2 linked regions of the Notamacropus eugenii genome follow. The protein of the gene in region 1 purifies or fractionates together with the protein of each later gene. This does not show direct contact. Links are inferred from orthologs where the notes say so. Each region holds a gene or a part of one and is shown in the gene's direction. Other genes may lie near its edges.

Region 1 (7,392 bases):
GAGCTTAGAACATTTCTGGTCCAGAACCATTAACTCTGGGCTAAAGTAAAATTGTACTGGCCTACAAGTTTCCTATTAGAAAATAATTACTAATAGAGAAGAAAATGACAGTTAAAAGATCTAACTAAATTATTTTTTGTCAAGTCATCTAGGGAGCAGAATATTCTGTTTTTGTACCCCATCCTAATTTAGCCACTGCCTTTCCCCTTCTTTCTATAAATAATAACATTCTCTTTATTCCATTCAGAGTAGAAATTGGAAAAAGGCATAAGTAGTTGTTGATGGAGCAAGATAATTTCTTTTATCTCTTTCCCAGTATATCCCTCCCTTCTGGAAAAGTTAACTGGGCTACAAAATAAAAAGAATTAGAGCAATTCTATACTGATAAAAGAATTCAATGCATTCTAAGAAGAATGTAATGTACCTCTTGGAAAAAATGTAATGCTTCAGAAAGAAAATAAATTAATCATCCTGCCTAACTGCCAGGGCTATGAAAAGGCAAATTAGGGACAATCTCCATTTGTTTAATAAGACACTGGAGAAAACACAAGTATTAACACCATTGGTATAAAGTAATTTTTCAAGAGTCATGTGCTTTGGAATATATAAGATCTTAGGATCATAGATTTAGAACTGGAAGGGAACTTTGAGTCCATTAAGTTCAACCTCATCTTTTTATAGATGAGGAAAACAAAGCACAAAGTGGTTAAATGATTTGTTCCTGGTCATAGAGCTAGCAAGTGTCTGAGATGAAATGTGAAGTCAGGTCCCCTTGACTCCAGAGTCCAGGCCTCCATCCTCCACACCATGCAAATCGAAAAAAAAAAAAATGGAAAAAATCCCTGCCTTTCATATCCAACTTGTTGTCAAGGCCTGTTGATTTCATCTTTACAAGATTCCTCCAGATGGCTCTGAAGGAGAAAGTGAGGCTAGTGACCTTGCACAGCACTCCTTCGCTCAAATCAGTCAACTGCAAGTCATGTTATCATCTTGACATCATGGTCCTCTTCGAGAATGAAGGACAAACAACCTGTGAGGGAATGGCAGCTCCTCTCCCCTCCCCTCCCCTCCTCTATGTCCTGGCCTGAGGTGCTCTACCCAGGGGAAAATACATTTCCAGGGCCAAAAGCTGCCTTTTTTCCTTTGAGTTTACTGACTAGATTTCTTGCTCAAGGACCAAGCCTTAAACCCAATTCACTCTGGAGCTCAATGATTGGACAACAGATCCCCACCCACCTAGCACAGAGTGAACATAAAGATGAAATAATAACTGTTTCTCTTTTACCCAGGAACCCTGAGGGTCTTCCCCTCCCAGTTTGATTCTTTTTTTTTTTTTTTTTTATTAAAGGACGGTCTCTTGAGTAACCACTTAAAGAAGCCCATTCATTGAGTGGGTGTGTCTCAAAGTGAGAATCTGATAAGACCTTAACCTAAAATGGCCAGGGTCTCTGGTTGCATCCTAGGCCATCTCCAGTCATCCTGATGAATATCTGGTCGCTGGATTCAGATGGCTCTGGAGGAGAAGTGAGGCTGGTGACTTGCACAGCCCTCCCTCACTCAAAGCAAAGTCAACTGCAAGTCATGTCATTACCTTGATTCATGGTCCTGTTCAAGAAGGAAAGACAAACACAACCACTCTAGTGCGGACCCTCATCATCTCACAATTGGGCTTTTACAATAGTGGGTCTGCCTGCCATAGTTTCTCTCCACTCCATTCTCCATTCAGTTGCCAAAGTGATTTTTCTAAAATGCAGGTCTGGCCATGTCATTCTGCTACTCAGTAAACTCCAGTGGTTGTCTATCACCTCCAAAGACCATGCTGCCCCTTTCAATATCAGAAAAATTTTTAAAAACTACCAACAATGAAAAAAGGCACTGTTATGCAGGTTTTTCATCTGTTTCTCTGGCTAGTTTTGGTCCAAGTGGCATAAAAAGAGCCTGCACTTTGGTGAAAGAAGAGTCTGGGTGGGAATACAGTAAATCTAGTGAACAGAGAAAAATGCAAAGCTGTAACAAGGCCTGAGGAAGCTATAAAATGCAGTTAATCAGTGCTAATTTTTTGAATGATTTCAGTTCTTAGAATGCACAGTTTATTAAAAACATGCAAATAAAATTTTAAAATCTGATAAAAAAGGAGGGGAAAAAAGAAAGGAAGGTTCTGGCATATTGGGTATGTGGCAAAATTGTGGGACGACAAGTCACACAACATGAATAGGCATGAATGTGTTAAGATCTTTACTATTTAACTCTAAATGAGGAAAATATTGCCAGGCACTGTGTTAGGTGCTTGGGATACAAAGATAGAAATAAACTAATTCCATTGCTAAAGAAGTTTACATTATACTAGGGAAAACAACATGAATAGAAATAGCATTGGAATAAAAGGGAAAGAACATTGGCTTAGGGTCAGAGAACCTAAATCTGAAGCCTGCCTCTGATTCATGTATCCTTGTTACTTCAACACTTCTGTGCCTCAGTTTTCTCATCTGTAAAACAAAGGAGTTGGATTCTATCAGGGTGGGGAACCTACGGCTTTGAGATCACATGTGACCTTCTAGGTCTTTAGGTACTGACTTTTGACTGAGTCCAAGCGTTACAGAACAAATCCTCTTAAGGGGATTTTGTGAAGTTTGGATTCAGTTAAATGGCCGCACTTGAGAACTTTAGAGGGTCACATATGGCCTTGAGGTCACAGGTTCCCCACCCCTGGATTATATGGTCTCTGAGGTCCCTTTCAGCTCTAAATCTATGATCCTACAAAGAAAGCAGAAAATAAATACAAAGTAATTTCCAGGGAGTAAAAGAAGAGGCCACGAAGAGGTGGTGAGAGCTGAAGTCCTATTCTGAACAACAAAAATCCTGGTTCTTTTTGGCTCAGTCAGCAGAATGAAAAGTCTGGCCAGTACTCTCTAGACAGAAAGGAAGTGACAGTTGTTATAATCATCATAGTAATAGCTATCATTTACATAGTTTTAAAGGGTTTTAAAGTCCTTTTTACAAATCAGAGCCATTTGATGTTGGCTAAAGTCTAATCTAGCTAACTCCAGAAATATGCTTTCTTGGGTTAATTGTTAGGTGACAAATATTCAGCTGAATAGCTCTTAAAAGATTATCTGTGAATTTGTAGAAACATGAGGTATGGTGTACCTTAGCAAAATTAAGGGATCAGTCTCTTGGGATTTTTAAAGTCACTTCCCACCCCTACCATTTGGGTGATCAAAATCTCACAAGAAGTCTAAATGACATCTAATCAAAGGCATTCATTCATTCATTCATCTAACAAGCATTTGTTGAGCACCACTTAAGTATCAGATACTGTAGGTACTAAGACCATAATAGAGGATGGTCACCATCAAATAGCCCACCTTTAAAGGCATCCTTCTTTAACCTAGTCAAGGTGCCTAGGCTTTTTTCTGCTCAAATTTTCACTCACTAGGACTTTAATATATGTGTTTCTATACTTAACATAAATGTGTATTTAACATATTATGTGAATATACATGTATGTGTATATCTAATGTAGAATATACATAGTGCATAGTGTTGCACAGCATATAAGCAGAATGAGTATATATAAATTAGTGTATGTATCCGTATAGAGAAATATATGTATATATATACACATACATGTGTGTGTGTTTGCATATAAAGTGCAGGACTTCACAGCAATAAAAATGAGCCTTAATTAGATCTATTCTAACTCAGGTTTGCCATCTATGTAGCCACCCGTGAAATCTGTCTTCATTCCAGACCCCGACAAGGCTGTTGAGGAGCTTCAGTCCCTGCGTCCTTTAGGGTCACCAGCGGCCGAGGGCAGCTGGAGGCAAGCCCTGACTGCTGGACCTCCCTGTCACTAGTTCCAACGTATGGGAGGCAGGTTTCAGAGACACCAGGAGGCAGCTGGCACTGCCCAGGGCTCCTGAGAACGTGCCCGGCACTCGCGCCTCTGTGGAAGGAGCGCTGCCTCAGTCTCCCACTCTGTAGATGCGAGCTGCTTAATCTTCCCAGAGTCACAGACAAGCCTAGGGACCCCTACTCGCAACGGCCAGTCACGTCAGAGCCTGAAGGCTGGACTGAGCTGGAGGGGCTACAGGAAGGGGGCCTGCCTCTGGTGCCCCGGACGGTGGCCGCTCCAAGCCCCGCCGCGGGAGGAGGAGGCGCGGGGAATCGAGCTTCTGCCGCGGCTCTCCCCAGTCCAGCCCCGCCTCGCCAGTTTGCCCTCCTTTTCTGACCTTTTCCAAAATGGCGGCGACGGCGACGCCGCCGCCAGGGCCCGGAAGCCCCGCCCCGCCCCGCCCCGCCCCTCCTCCTAGCGCGACCGAATGCACTACCGCCCCCTCCCCAGCTCGCGCTCGGGGGTCAGAGGCGACGCCGTCGGCGCGTCCGTTTCCCGCCATAGCGTAGAGGAAGGCGGGGGGCGAGGGGGGCTCCTGGCGCTTCCGCCTCGTAGCTGCCGCCGCCGCCGCTGCCGTGGTTGCTGCTGCCGGGAGCGGGGCGAGCCCGAGGCCGGGCGGTGTCGCTCCGTGACCGCTGCCGCTTGCCCGGCGTGGGCGTGGGCGAGGGAGGGAGCGGCCGGGGGCTTGGGCCGACCCCGAAAGGAGAGGAGGAGGAGGAGGCGGTAGGACGTGCGATCGTTCCCTCTGCCCGCCGCCGTCGCCCCCGGAGCCCCGCTCGGGGCAGCCCGCTCCGCGCGCCCCTCGGCAAGATGCCGTGTGGGGACGACTGGCTGAACCATCCGCTCGGCATCGTGCAGGGCTTCTTTGGTGAGTGGGGGGCGCCCCCGGGAACCCTAGGTAATTCGGGGGAGTCCTTCCTGCCCGGAGATTGAGGAAGGGGCGACCCGAGCGCCCCCTCCCCCGCCACCCGGCGGGCGACCCCCCGGCCCCGGGGCCGCCGCACGGTTCGGGCTGCCCCCTGCGGGGGGCGGGGAGCGGGCAGGAACTTTGTCTCCCTTCCCTCCCGGGCCCCCGGGCCCCCAGACCCGGAACGTGGCCCGGGACTGGCGCAGGCCGCAGCGGGTGCCGTCGGGCTGGGCTGGTGGGAGACGGGGCGGCCGGCCCGCGGGTCCTGCACGGCTTTGCCGTTTCCTCTCCAGCTCGTTTTACAGAAGAGGAGCTGGGGCAAACGGAGCTAAGTGACTTGCCCAGGGTCCCCCGGCTAGGATCCCAGGCCACTCTTAAAGCCAGGAAGTGGAGTCTTCTTTACTCCAGCCAGGCATTCTGTCAGTGCTCTTGGGAATCGGGTAAAGTTGAAAAGGACAAAACCGGTGTGAACATTCTGCGGTGCCACAGACGGGGGCAGTGGTCGTGAAGAGAGCGGGGGCTTGTGCGAGGACTTAGGCTCAGGGTCCTGGGGAGACTGAGACAGGGTTTGTAAAGCAGCATGTAATGCCAGCTATTGCCTGGCTCACTGAGGACGTCCTTTATCGGGCTACTTCAAGAAGTAGGAAGTAAATTTTAGAAATAGTAACTGACATAAAACCCGCAAATTTGGAGATCTTGGGGGATGGAGGAATGTTGACCATTTATTTACTTTTAATTTGCGGACAACTAACTCATTTTCCCAGTCTACGACAGAATAGAAGCAGGAAACCATCACCATCTCCACGTCTCTGAGGGGCACTGACAACAGGGAGACTTAACAGCTGAAGTAAGGGGAGAAGCAAGAAATCTATTTTAAAACTGACAAATTCAAAGTAGAGTATTTGAGGCCCTTTCATGAAGGAACTTGTTGTCTTAAGCTTTTGGATCTCTAAGAGTCATTCCAATAAAGAAGTGTAATAGTTGATATTCTTAATGGTGATCCTGAGTAATTAAAGCAAAAGTTAACAGATTTATCTTTAGCATGCTGCATTTAATTAGAGAAGAAAGTGTGTGTTTCATTTTAGGATTTCCACCAAAAATGGGGTTTGTTTGTTTTTTAAGTTAGTCTTTAAATGCCTTATACAAATTATTTATTTGTATACACACACATTCTTCAAGAACCTATTCTTGTGTGTGTGTATAATATACTTATTCTCCAGGATTCTGGATAAATTAGATTGGTTACTGTGTACCAGAGATTTAGCTACACTTTGCTCAAATCATTTTGTCTTTGTCACACAGAGATATGCATTTCTCATAGCATAGTAAAGCATACAGTGTTGATATATGGTGCCATCAGCTTTATAACAGGGTTCAACAGTGTTTTTAAAATTCCATGGATTATTTATTGTGTAGCGGTTATGAATAATACAGTACTCATGCTTATTGGTCTTAGTATGTTAATAAATCAAAAGCTGGATTTTTTTGGTATATTTTGCAGTTAACACTATTGAAGGATGGCAATTTCACAGTTCCTTCTTGTGCTGTGATAAAACATTGCTTCAGTAATAGATGTTTGCTAACGTAGATAATGTGGCATGAGAATAATTAGGTATATTTCTAGTCAGTCTCTGGACAGGAGAGAATTATTTTTAGTAATGAGTGCCTAAATATAGAGTAACTATCTTTTTAGTCTTGAAATAATGATTTTTACTTGTAAGCACAAGCAGGAATACTGAACAGAAAGTTTGGATTCAGTCAAAGGGCCGCACTTGAGGTCCTAGAGGGCCACATGTGGCCTTGAGGTTGCAGATTCCTCACCCCTGGAGTAAATATGGTAATTTTTTTTCTTGGTCCTTAACCTGCAGTTTTATCACTGTAGTGAACTACATCTGCAACTTAAAAAGTTAGCTTCTGGGACTTTCCCATGGGTCACAGAGCTAGTATGTATCAAAGGATGTACCTGAACCCAAGTCTTTCCAATTCCAGGACCAGTCTACTATCTGTTATTCAATGCTTTATCTTCACATTCCTATATTTAACCCAAAAGAGCCCAGCCTCAAGAATCTGAAAGACCTAGATGCAAGAACTCTGATCCTAGGCAAGTCACAACTTCTAAGTTACCCCAGCAACTCTCTAAGATCATTAAATTGCAAAATAATAACCCATTTATTGACCTGCATTGATAGTGAGTTTTTTCCTCAATAAATGTCCTTCACTCTTTTGACATCACAGGTCTGTCCCCATCCCCCCATCTTCAATTAATGAATTTATGTCTTAAGTAGAGATTTGGGGTTGTATTTGCCAGATGGTGTGATTAATCTCATATTTAAGATATTTCCTTTAGACCTTAAAAAAAGTCATTATCAGTATGTATGATCTAGATTGAGGAAGGTATCCAAAGTTGGAAAATCCCTGTAACTCAGGTTATAACCGTTCCATTCCCCTTCAGAATTAAGTGAATTATTGCCTCAGTGCCCACATTTCTGTCCAAAATTAAAGCCTTTCTAGTAGCTAGTAGACCTGCCATGGCTTGAACTTCCCTGCTGAATTCTTCAAGAACCCAGGGTCACTGCCAGGAACTAATGAA
Region 2 (7,636 bases), on another chromosome or scaffold:
TATACTAATATATTAGTGTCTTATATATAGTAATATATTAGTATATTATGTATACTAATATATAGTATGTATATTACTATATACAATATATTTATAGTATAGTAAAAAATATTTATATGGTACTTACTCTATGCCAGGCACTATGCTAAACACTTTACAATTATTATCTCTTTTGATTCTCACAACAACCATGGGAGGTAGGTGCTATTATTATTTCCATTTTGCAGATGAGAAAACTGAGGTAAACAGAGGTTAAGTGACTTACCCAAGATCACACAGCAAGTATTTGAGGCTGAATTTGAATTCAGGTATGACCCTGGGCCCAGCTCCATTTGAAACACAATGTTGTTTTTTTTTTTAAAGCCTGTTTTTTCACAGATATATTTCAAGAAACCATAAAAAAAAAAATAAATTGTGCCAGCTTAAAAAAAATAAAAATAGACATGGACTATGTAACTCTGGGCAAATCAGAGAACTATACTGATCTAGTCCTTATCTCTATACTTTCTCCTTCCTCTAGGCAACTTCCAAGATTGGAAGTTGTAAAGAAAGTACCTAAGATTATTCTCCTTATCTGGGAAACTAAATAAATAAACTACCTCCATGCTTTCTCTTTCCCTGGGAATGCTGAAAAACAAAGCGTTACATTATCACCAGTTTTCACAGTATCCAAGATCTTCTCTACCTGCTCAGTATTGTGAGCCTGAAGTTGGATTGGCCTTGAAATATACCAGGTGATGAGAGATCATAAATATGAATAAAAATGGAAATCGGGATACGTAGCAACATATTTTATTGTCCCTCCCTTTTCTTTGAACATAGTAATCAGATCAACAGTAAATAAAATTCATTTCTGCCAGCCTCAGTTTCCTCATCTGTAAAATAGGGATAATAACAGTGATGGGGTGGTGGGACCTAGATCCCAAAAAGCCCTACCACCATGTCTCTGAAAGCAACCCAGCCCCTCCTCTCCCATCCATGAGAAAATTCTCTTCTTATTACAGATACAGACAGAGTTCACCCTGTAATTCCTTAGATAAACAACAGATACAGGGGTGCCTGACCCAAGCACTCTCCCTCATGTCAGATCCCCAAGGTCCATGCCTCTAACAGCTCCCTCAATGTCTGGTATCAACAAAATTATCTCTGAAAAACTCCCTACATTTTCCATAGATTACTGACGCCTGCTCCCATGACACTTGGACCCTTTGCATTACATAATTATTCCTTTCCCATGCCCCTTTTCTATATAAGCTCTAGATTCACCCCCATTAGGTTGTAAATTCTTTAAAGGAACTCTGCCCACTTCTATTGGTATTACAATAAACTGCCTCAACCGAAGGATGGCTTGAGTGTGTGAATTCATTCCAGGCAACCCTGCCTAGGCATTTTTAGGGTCCTAGCACTCCAAATTTCATCAATAGGACCTAGGATTGTTGTGAAGTTAAAATAAGACAATATTTGTAAAACACTACAAACCTTAAAGTGATCTATAAATGCTGGTAGTAGCAGTAGTAACAGCAGCAGCAACAGCAGCATTGCCTCTGGAAAGAATGAACTAGTTAATTGCCCTAAAGATCAACTCAATATCCCTGAGACCACTTTCCTGACCAAAACATCCCTTGGCTACCATTCTCCTATGTGTATTGTTTCACCCTATCACAGGAATTCTAGACCTTTTTTGTATCATAGACACCTTTGACAGATTGGTGAAAATTTATTGACCTCTTCTCAGAATGTTTTTTAATATATTAAAATACACGGGATTATAAAGGAAACCAATTACACTGAAGAAAAGTTATAATTTTTCTCATCCAAATTTTCAGATCCCGTGAAATCCATTTATGGATCCTATAGGAATTGGTGGACCTCAAATTAAGAATACCTGCTGTGTTGGAATATAAACTCCTTGAGAAAAGAAGCTATTTCACTTTTTATATATTTGTATCACTAATGCTTAGCTCTGTTCCTGGTACATAGTAACCATTTACTGATCTTTTCATTCATTTATTCATATCTCATCTTGTATAAAACTGTAAACAGGATCTTGATTCATGAATTGGTTTTTGTTCTCCAGATTGCAAATGTAGAAATCAGACAGTAATCAGATATTAGGCTTTCAAACCATAGTCTTACAGCTAATCAATAAGACCTTAAATATGCAATCATACAGATAGGTTTTTAAATATTTCATAGAAATTAGCTCAAATGATCTTTACAACAACCCCATGAGGTACAATAGATATAATCTACTGTTCAAAGGCCATTTTGTAGAGTTTTATGCAAATAGCCTTTGAGCTACAGGTTACATAGCTCTCAATCCCTCTGAGATGAGGAAAGTGTACTTGGAATTAGTTTAGTTAGGAAGGAACAGATAGTGAGTAGCCGAGCAAGGACTTAATTCTAGTATCCTTCATGTTTGAACTTTGAAGGACAAAAGTATTTATTGTTATATAACTGTAGAAATTGAATTTTAATGAAAGGGTAAACTGAGGTAGATCTCAGAGCAAGGTCATGTTACCTGTCAATAAATGGGTCAGTGGATTGCCTCCATTAATGCCAAACACCTGGAGCAAGAGGACAGATCTTCTTAATACAAGGTTTTGGAAATTACAAAGAGGAGGGTAGATGACATCTTGGGATCATGATTGGTCAAAGAGTTGAGGCACAGGGAACAACATGATTGGTAGGAAATTTGGTAATGGGGGCTAGCATTGACCCCTCTTCTCCTCTCATGATACTAAGAGGTGTTTATTGTCTGAGTGCAGGTGTGGGATAGTGGCTCAGCAAACTAGACATCCTTGAAGGAAAGCTTGGTGGAGTAAGAGTGTCAAGCCCAAACTTCCTTGCATTCTCACACATTCACCAAGATCAGTTAAGTTCCTTGAGGCAGGAGAGCTGTATTTTTAAAGCTAATCTGTTACAGACCAGCTGAACGCTGAATTCAGTTCAGAGACAAAGAACCATGATTGAAGCACTTAGGGGACAAAATCAATTAATTGTAAATAGGATCAATAAGAAAATAAGACAGGATCAATCTTAATCTCCTCAACTTATAGGGATAAATAGCATGAAGCTTACAGAGCACATATTAATAATGTATCCAGGTATTTAAAACATCCGCTATCATCATCATCCTCATCACTAAAGTTTACGTAGTGCCTACTATGTTTCGGGCACTGCGCTTTAGAAACACGTTGTTGTTCAGTCATGTGGACTCTTTGTGACTCCCTTTGGAGTTTTCTTGGCAGAGATACTGGGGGTGGTTTGCCATTTCCTTCTCCAGCTTATTTGACAGATGGGGAAACTGAGGCAGGCAGAAGTTAAGTGATTTGTCCCAGGGTCACACAGATCGTATGTATCAGGTTCTACCTGACCCTATCCAAATGCGCCACCTGCCTGCCACTACTTAGAACTGGAAGGGACCTTGGAGACTTTGTCCAATCCCTTTATTTTAAAAATGAGGAAACAGAGGTTTAGAGAATTTGTGCTTTGCCTCAGGTTACATAGACTGAATTTGAACCCCCGTCTTCCTCATTCCAGCTCTAGCACTCTATCTCCGACACCACGGAGAGCAGCTGCGTGATGGATGTGAGAAGATATTTGCTTTTCATCGATTCTTATACTGAATCAGTCTTGTGATAGAGAGAGAGGAATTTCTGCCTTTCATTCGTATCGGCTGCAGAAATGTGGGAAGACCACTTTAACTCTCGGTGCCCAGGCTGAGTGCACATTACAGAAATGTTGCCCGATTATCCGTGAGGGCAGTTCTGCGGACCTGTGAAATCTCCCGAGTGTGTTGGTAAATGTTGAACTGTGTTTAACTGTGCGTGTGCGTGTGCGTGTGTGCGTGTGTGTGTGTGTGCGGGTGTGTAATGTGCTCATCATTTATTTATTATTATTAAATAAACAAATATTATTTATTTATTATTATTTTTAAATCTGCATTGTTTGACTGTACAAAACTGAAAACAAAATAATTTTTAAAAAATGCATCGTTAACATTCCTTCATCTCTGTCTTGAATTCTAGACAATCAATAAAACAGATCAAGTCCTTCATCTGGAGCATTTGCCGATTTCCAAGTTATTCAGCAGCCAGTTCTGCGGGTAAGGAGCTCGCTCCAGCACATCTCTGGCCGTGTCTACCTGATTAAAACAAAATTAATCAATGATCGTCACTTTTTTTATGTCCCTTGATACCCCCTCTCCAATGTAATATAACATCATTCCCAAACTGTTATAAAAGAAGGCGCAGAACAAGGGATTGACTTTCCCGGTCACAAAGTGAACACAAAGGCGCAGGTGAGACTGGACGACTCGACACAGATAATGTTTTTGTACGTTACCCAGAAGGGAAACAGCTTGAAAGCAAGGTAGCACCAACCACCCAGACTACTAGATTTCTATCATATGGACTACAATTCCCAGAAAGCAACGCGACGTATTTTCGTTGCAGTCCCAACCCTCGGGAGCTGAAAGTCACAAGCTCCGCCCATCGCGCCCTCTGGATTGGCCAGTTACGTTCTTCTTGACTTAAGGGCGCAGGGGAGGGGAGGGGCAAATAGACATCTGTAAGTTTCCCGCCATGAGGACGTATCGGAACGCCAAGGGGAGGAAGGAGCTGCCCATTGGGCACACGTTCTTCCGCCCGCGGAAGTTGCAGCCAATCAGAATCCAACCTGCTTCCGCAGCCGCCTAGGAAGTAACTTTGGGTGGCGGGAAAAGTGAAGTAACTTTCGCGCCTGGGGAGGAGTCAGCGCTGGGGGAGCGAAGAAGCGGAGTCCATTCTGCAGTCTGGAAGCATGGCTGCCACCACCGTGATAGACGATGTGGAGCTGCGGGAGGCGCAGAGAGATTACCTGGACTTCCTGGACGACGAGGTGAGGGCTCCGCGTGTGTGCGTGCGTGTTGGGGGAGGAGGGGGTCAGGGGAAGGCCGTGTGGCCGTTGGCTCCGGCGGAGGCGGGCGCTGGGCAGGGAAGAGGCCCGAGGAAGAGGAGGGTCCTTCTGTCTTCCTCTCGGCCGGCTTGGTTGGAGGGAGCGGGGTCCGGGCCGTAGGTGCGAGCCCAGGCGGGTGGGGGTGGGTGGGAGGGCTCGCCAGGAGCCCTTCACGCCCCCTGTCCCGGACCGTGTGACCCCCCAAAAGCTAGCGTGGGTTAGAGTGAAACCGTGGGCTTCTGTTGGATTCGGGGTGCCGGGATGCTCCAGGCTTTGTTCTCTCGGGGGTGGGGCCGGACAGGGGGTGGGGCTGGGTAGGGTCCACCTGGGAAAAGTTCTTGTCTGCGATCTTTGTTGTAGCCAAAACTAGTCTGGAGCTTCTGGCACCAGACACGTGCGTAGTGACTCGTGTCGAATGGAAATAGTTCTTGAAAAATTTCTCGTGGCATTTTTTTGTTTTTGGCATAGACAGCTGTGAACATCACCATCTAAAGAGAGGGAGCACAGACCTCCCAGACGCTGGTGTGCTTTTCCAGGCTGGTGTTTGTTTTGTTTTTGGCAGGGAGGCAGGGTGGAGGAGAAGATGCTTGTCCTGGGTGTTGTGTTTACTTAATCCAGATAAATAAGAAATCATGTTTATCTGTCAAGTGGATTAGCTTGTCCTGTCGAGATGGCTCCCCCACCTAGGCAGTGCTGGTTGACGAAGACTGTCTTCCTGTAAATAACGGGGTCTATCTGATTTCTCAGTAAGTTGGGAATCAGTACATGAAGATCCCTAAGGGGATAGCCTGGCCCTAATACTTAAACCAGGGGAGGATAAAGTAAAGAGAACTATACATCAGTATCGTTAATGAGTATTGGTTATAATTTTAAAAATTTTTAGCAAAAAAAGTGGTACTATATAAAAAAATTAGTCATTGTGAACAAGTTAGCATTCTACTATGGATGCAAGGATGATACAGAATTAGAAAAGCAATTAATAGTCGTTCATATTAAAAACAAAACCACTGTAAACTACAGGATTGTATGAATAGATGCAGGAAAAGCCTTTGAGGAAGTGTATCATTTATTTATGCTAAAAATTCTACGTCATAGACCTTGAAGGGTTATTTTTAATAATGAAATCATTTCTAAAATCATTTGCAATGGGAAAACACAGAAACTTTTCCTTATTCCATGTTAGGTCAGAAGATAAAGGATGATATTATCTAAATTAATTTGCAGACTTAATACTTTGCCAAATCAATTACCAAGGGGATACTTGACAGAGGTAGGCAAAATAATAATAAAAATCATTTGGAGGAATGAAAGATTCAGAATCTCAAAGGAAATAATGAAAAAAATAAGAGTGAAGGGTATTACTTCTAGACCTTTGGTTTTGCTGTGAAGCAGTAATCATTGAAACTATTTGGTATTGGTTAAAAAAATTAGAAAAGTAGATTGATAGAACAAATTGAAAAAAGAAGAATGAAAAACAATTGAACTTAATAACCCAGAAGAGATAAATTACTTGATAAAGAATTCCATATTTGAAAGAATTGTTGGGAAAACTGGAAAGCAGATTGGCAGAAATTAAATCTAGAGCACCATCTTAGACAATAATAAGGTAAAAATGAATGTGCAACTTGAATGAAAGGTAATACTCTAAAAGGCAAATGAAAGGTGATATAAAAATTTAGATGACAGGTTAAGTTCATTTCACTTCTGTGACTAGGATAAGAAGATCTTCCCCCCCCCCCCCACCAAACATGGAAGGAGTATACAGGTGATCATATAACATAAAATAGATAAAACCTTTTTCACAAAGAAAATCCATGTAACTTGGGTAAAAAGGAAAGTGTTGGATTGGGGGAAAAGCCTTTGCATTACCTATAGAGATCTCTAAGGGTCCTGGATATACAAAGAACCAATGCAAGTACGTCAGGCCAAGAATCATTTATCATTCGATATGATCAAAGAATATGAACAGTTCTTAGAAGATTTACAAGCTGTTAATGAACTTGTGAAAGATTATTTCAAGTCATTAATAACAAGAGAGATGAAAGTGAAAGCAACTCAAATTTCACTTCACCCAGGAAATTGGCAAAGATCACAGAAGATGCAAATAGTCCATGAAGCTGGGCACATTAATACCTTTTTTTATGGAACTATATATGGGTCAAACTGTTCAATAAAGTAATCTGGAATTCAAAGAAAGTGACTGAAATATTCCTACCCTTTGAGAACCTCCTGGGTACATACTCTGATGTCAGTGATAGAAAAGCACATATACCAAAAACATAGAAAGTAGATAATCATCAAGTAGGGATTGGCTAAACAAATTGTTGTATGATGAATGTAATAAAATGTGGACATGTAAGAAGTGTGATTTGAAGAATGAGAAGGTTAAGGTTCCAGAATGAGATAAAGCAGAACCAGGAAAACAACCTCTATATCTATTTATATATAGTGTAATGGTGTAAATGGGAAGAAAGATAATAAAATAAAAGTAAGAGATAATAAAAAAAGAAACTGAATGCTATATAACATAATGATTAAAGCTGGTCCTAGAGCAGAGATTTTTAAAAATTGCCTCCTTCATAGAGACTTCATCCAATTCCAATCATCTTAACCTTCCTCCACCTCTTGAAAAGGCAAGCAGTATATTGATTATACATATGAAGTCATGCCACACATTTTCCGTATTAGCCATATTGTG

What was found. The genes of interacting proteins can lie anywhere in the genome.
Region 2: the proteins of MCMBP (region 1) and MCM3 purify together in Homo sapiens (affinity purification with mass spectrometry; 10 studies listed by BioGRID and IntAct, counting the BioPlex papers as one, with this or other methods). This does not show direct contact. The link is inferred for Notamacropus eugenii from reciprocal best matches to the Homo sapiens genes MCMBP and MCM3.

What each region holds. Positions count from the first base shown.
Region 1 is NC_092872.1:200,041,749-200,049,140, reverse strand, and holds the start of MCMBP (mini-chromosome maintenance complex-binding protein), read left to right. Parts: upstream 1-4,303; 5' UTR 4,304-4,705; coding exon 4,706-4,763; intron 4,764-7,392. UniProt on the Homo sapiens protein: Associated component of the MCM complex that acts as a regulator of DNA replication.
Region 2 is NC_092873.1:118,548,496-118,556,131, reverse strand, and holds the start of MCM3 (DNA replication licensing factor MCM3), read left to right. Parts: upstream 1-4,568; 5' UTR 4,569-4,803; coding exon 4,804-4,881; intron 4,882-7,636. UniProt on the Homo sapiens protein: Acts as a component of the MCM2-7 complex (MCM complex) which is the replicative helicase essential for 'once per cell cycle' DNA replication initiation and elongation in eukaryotic cells.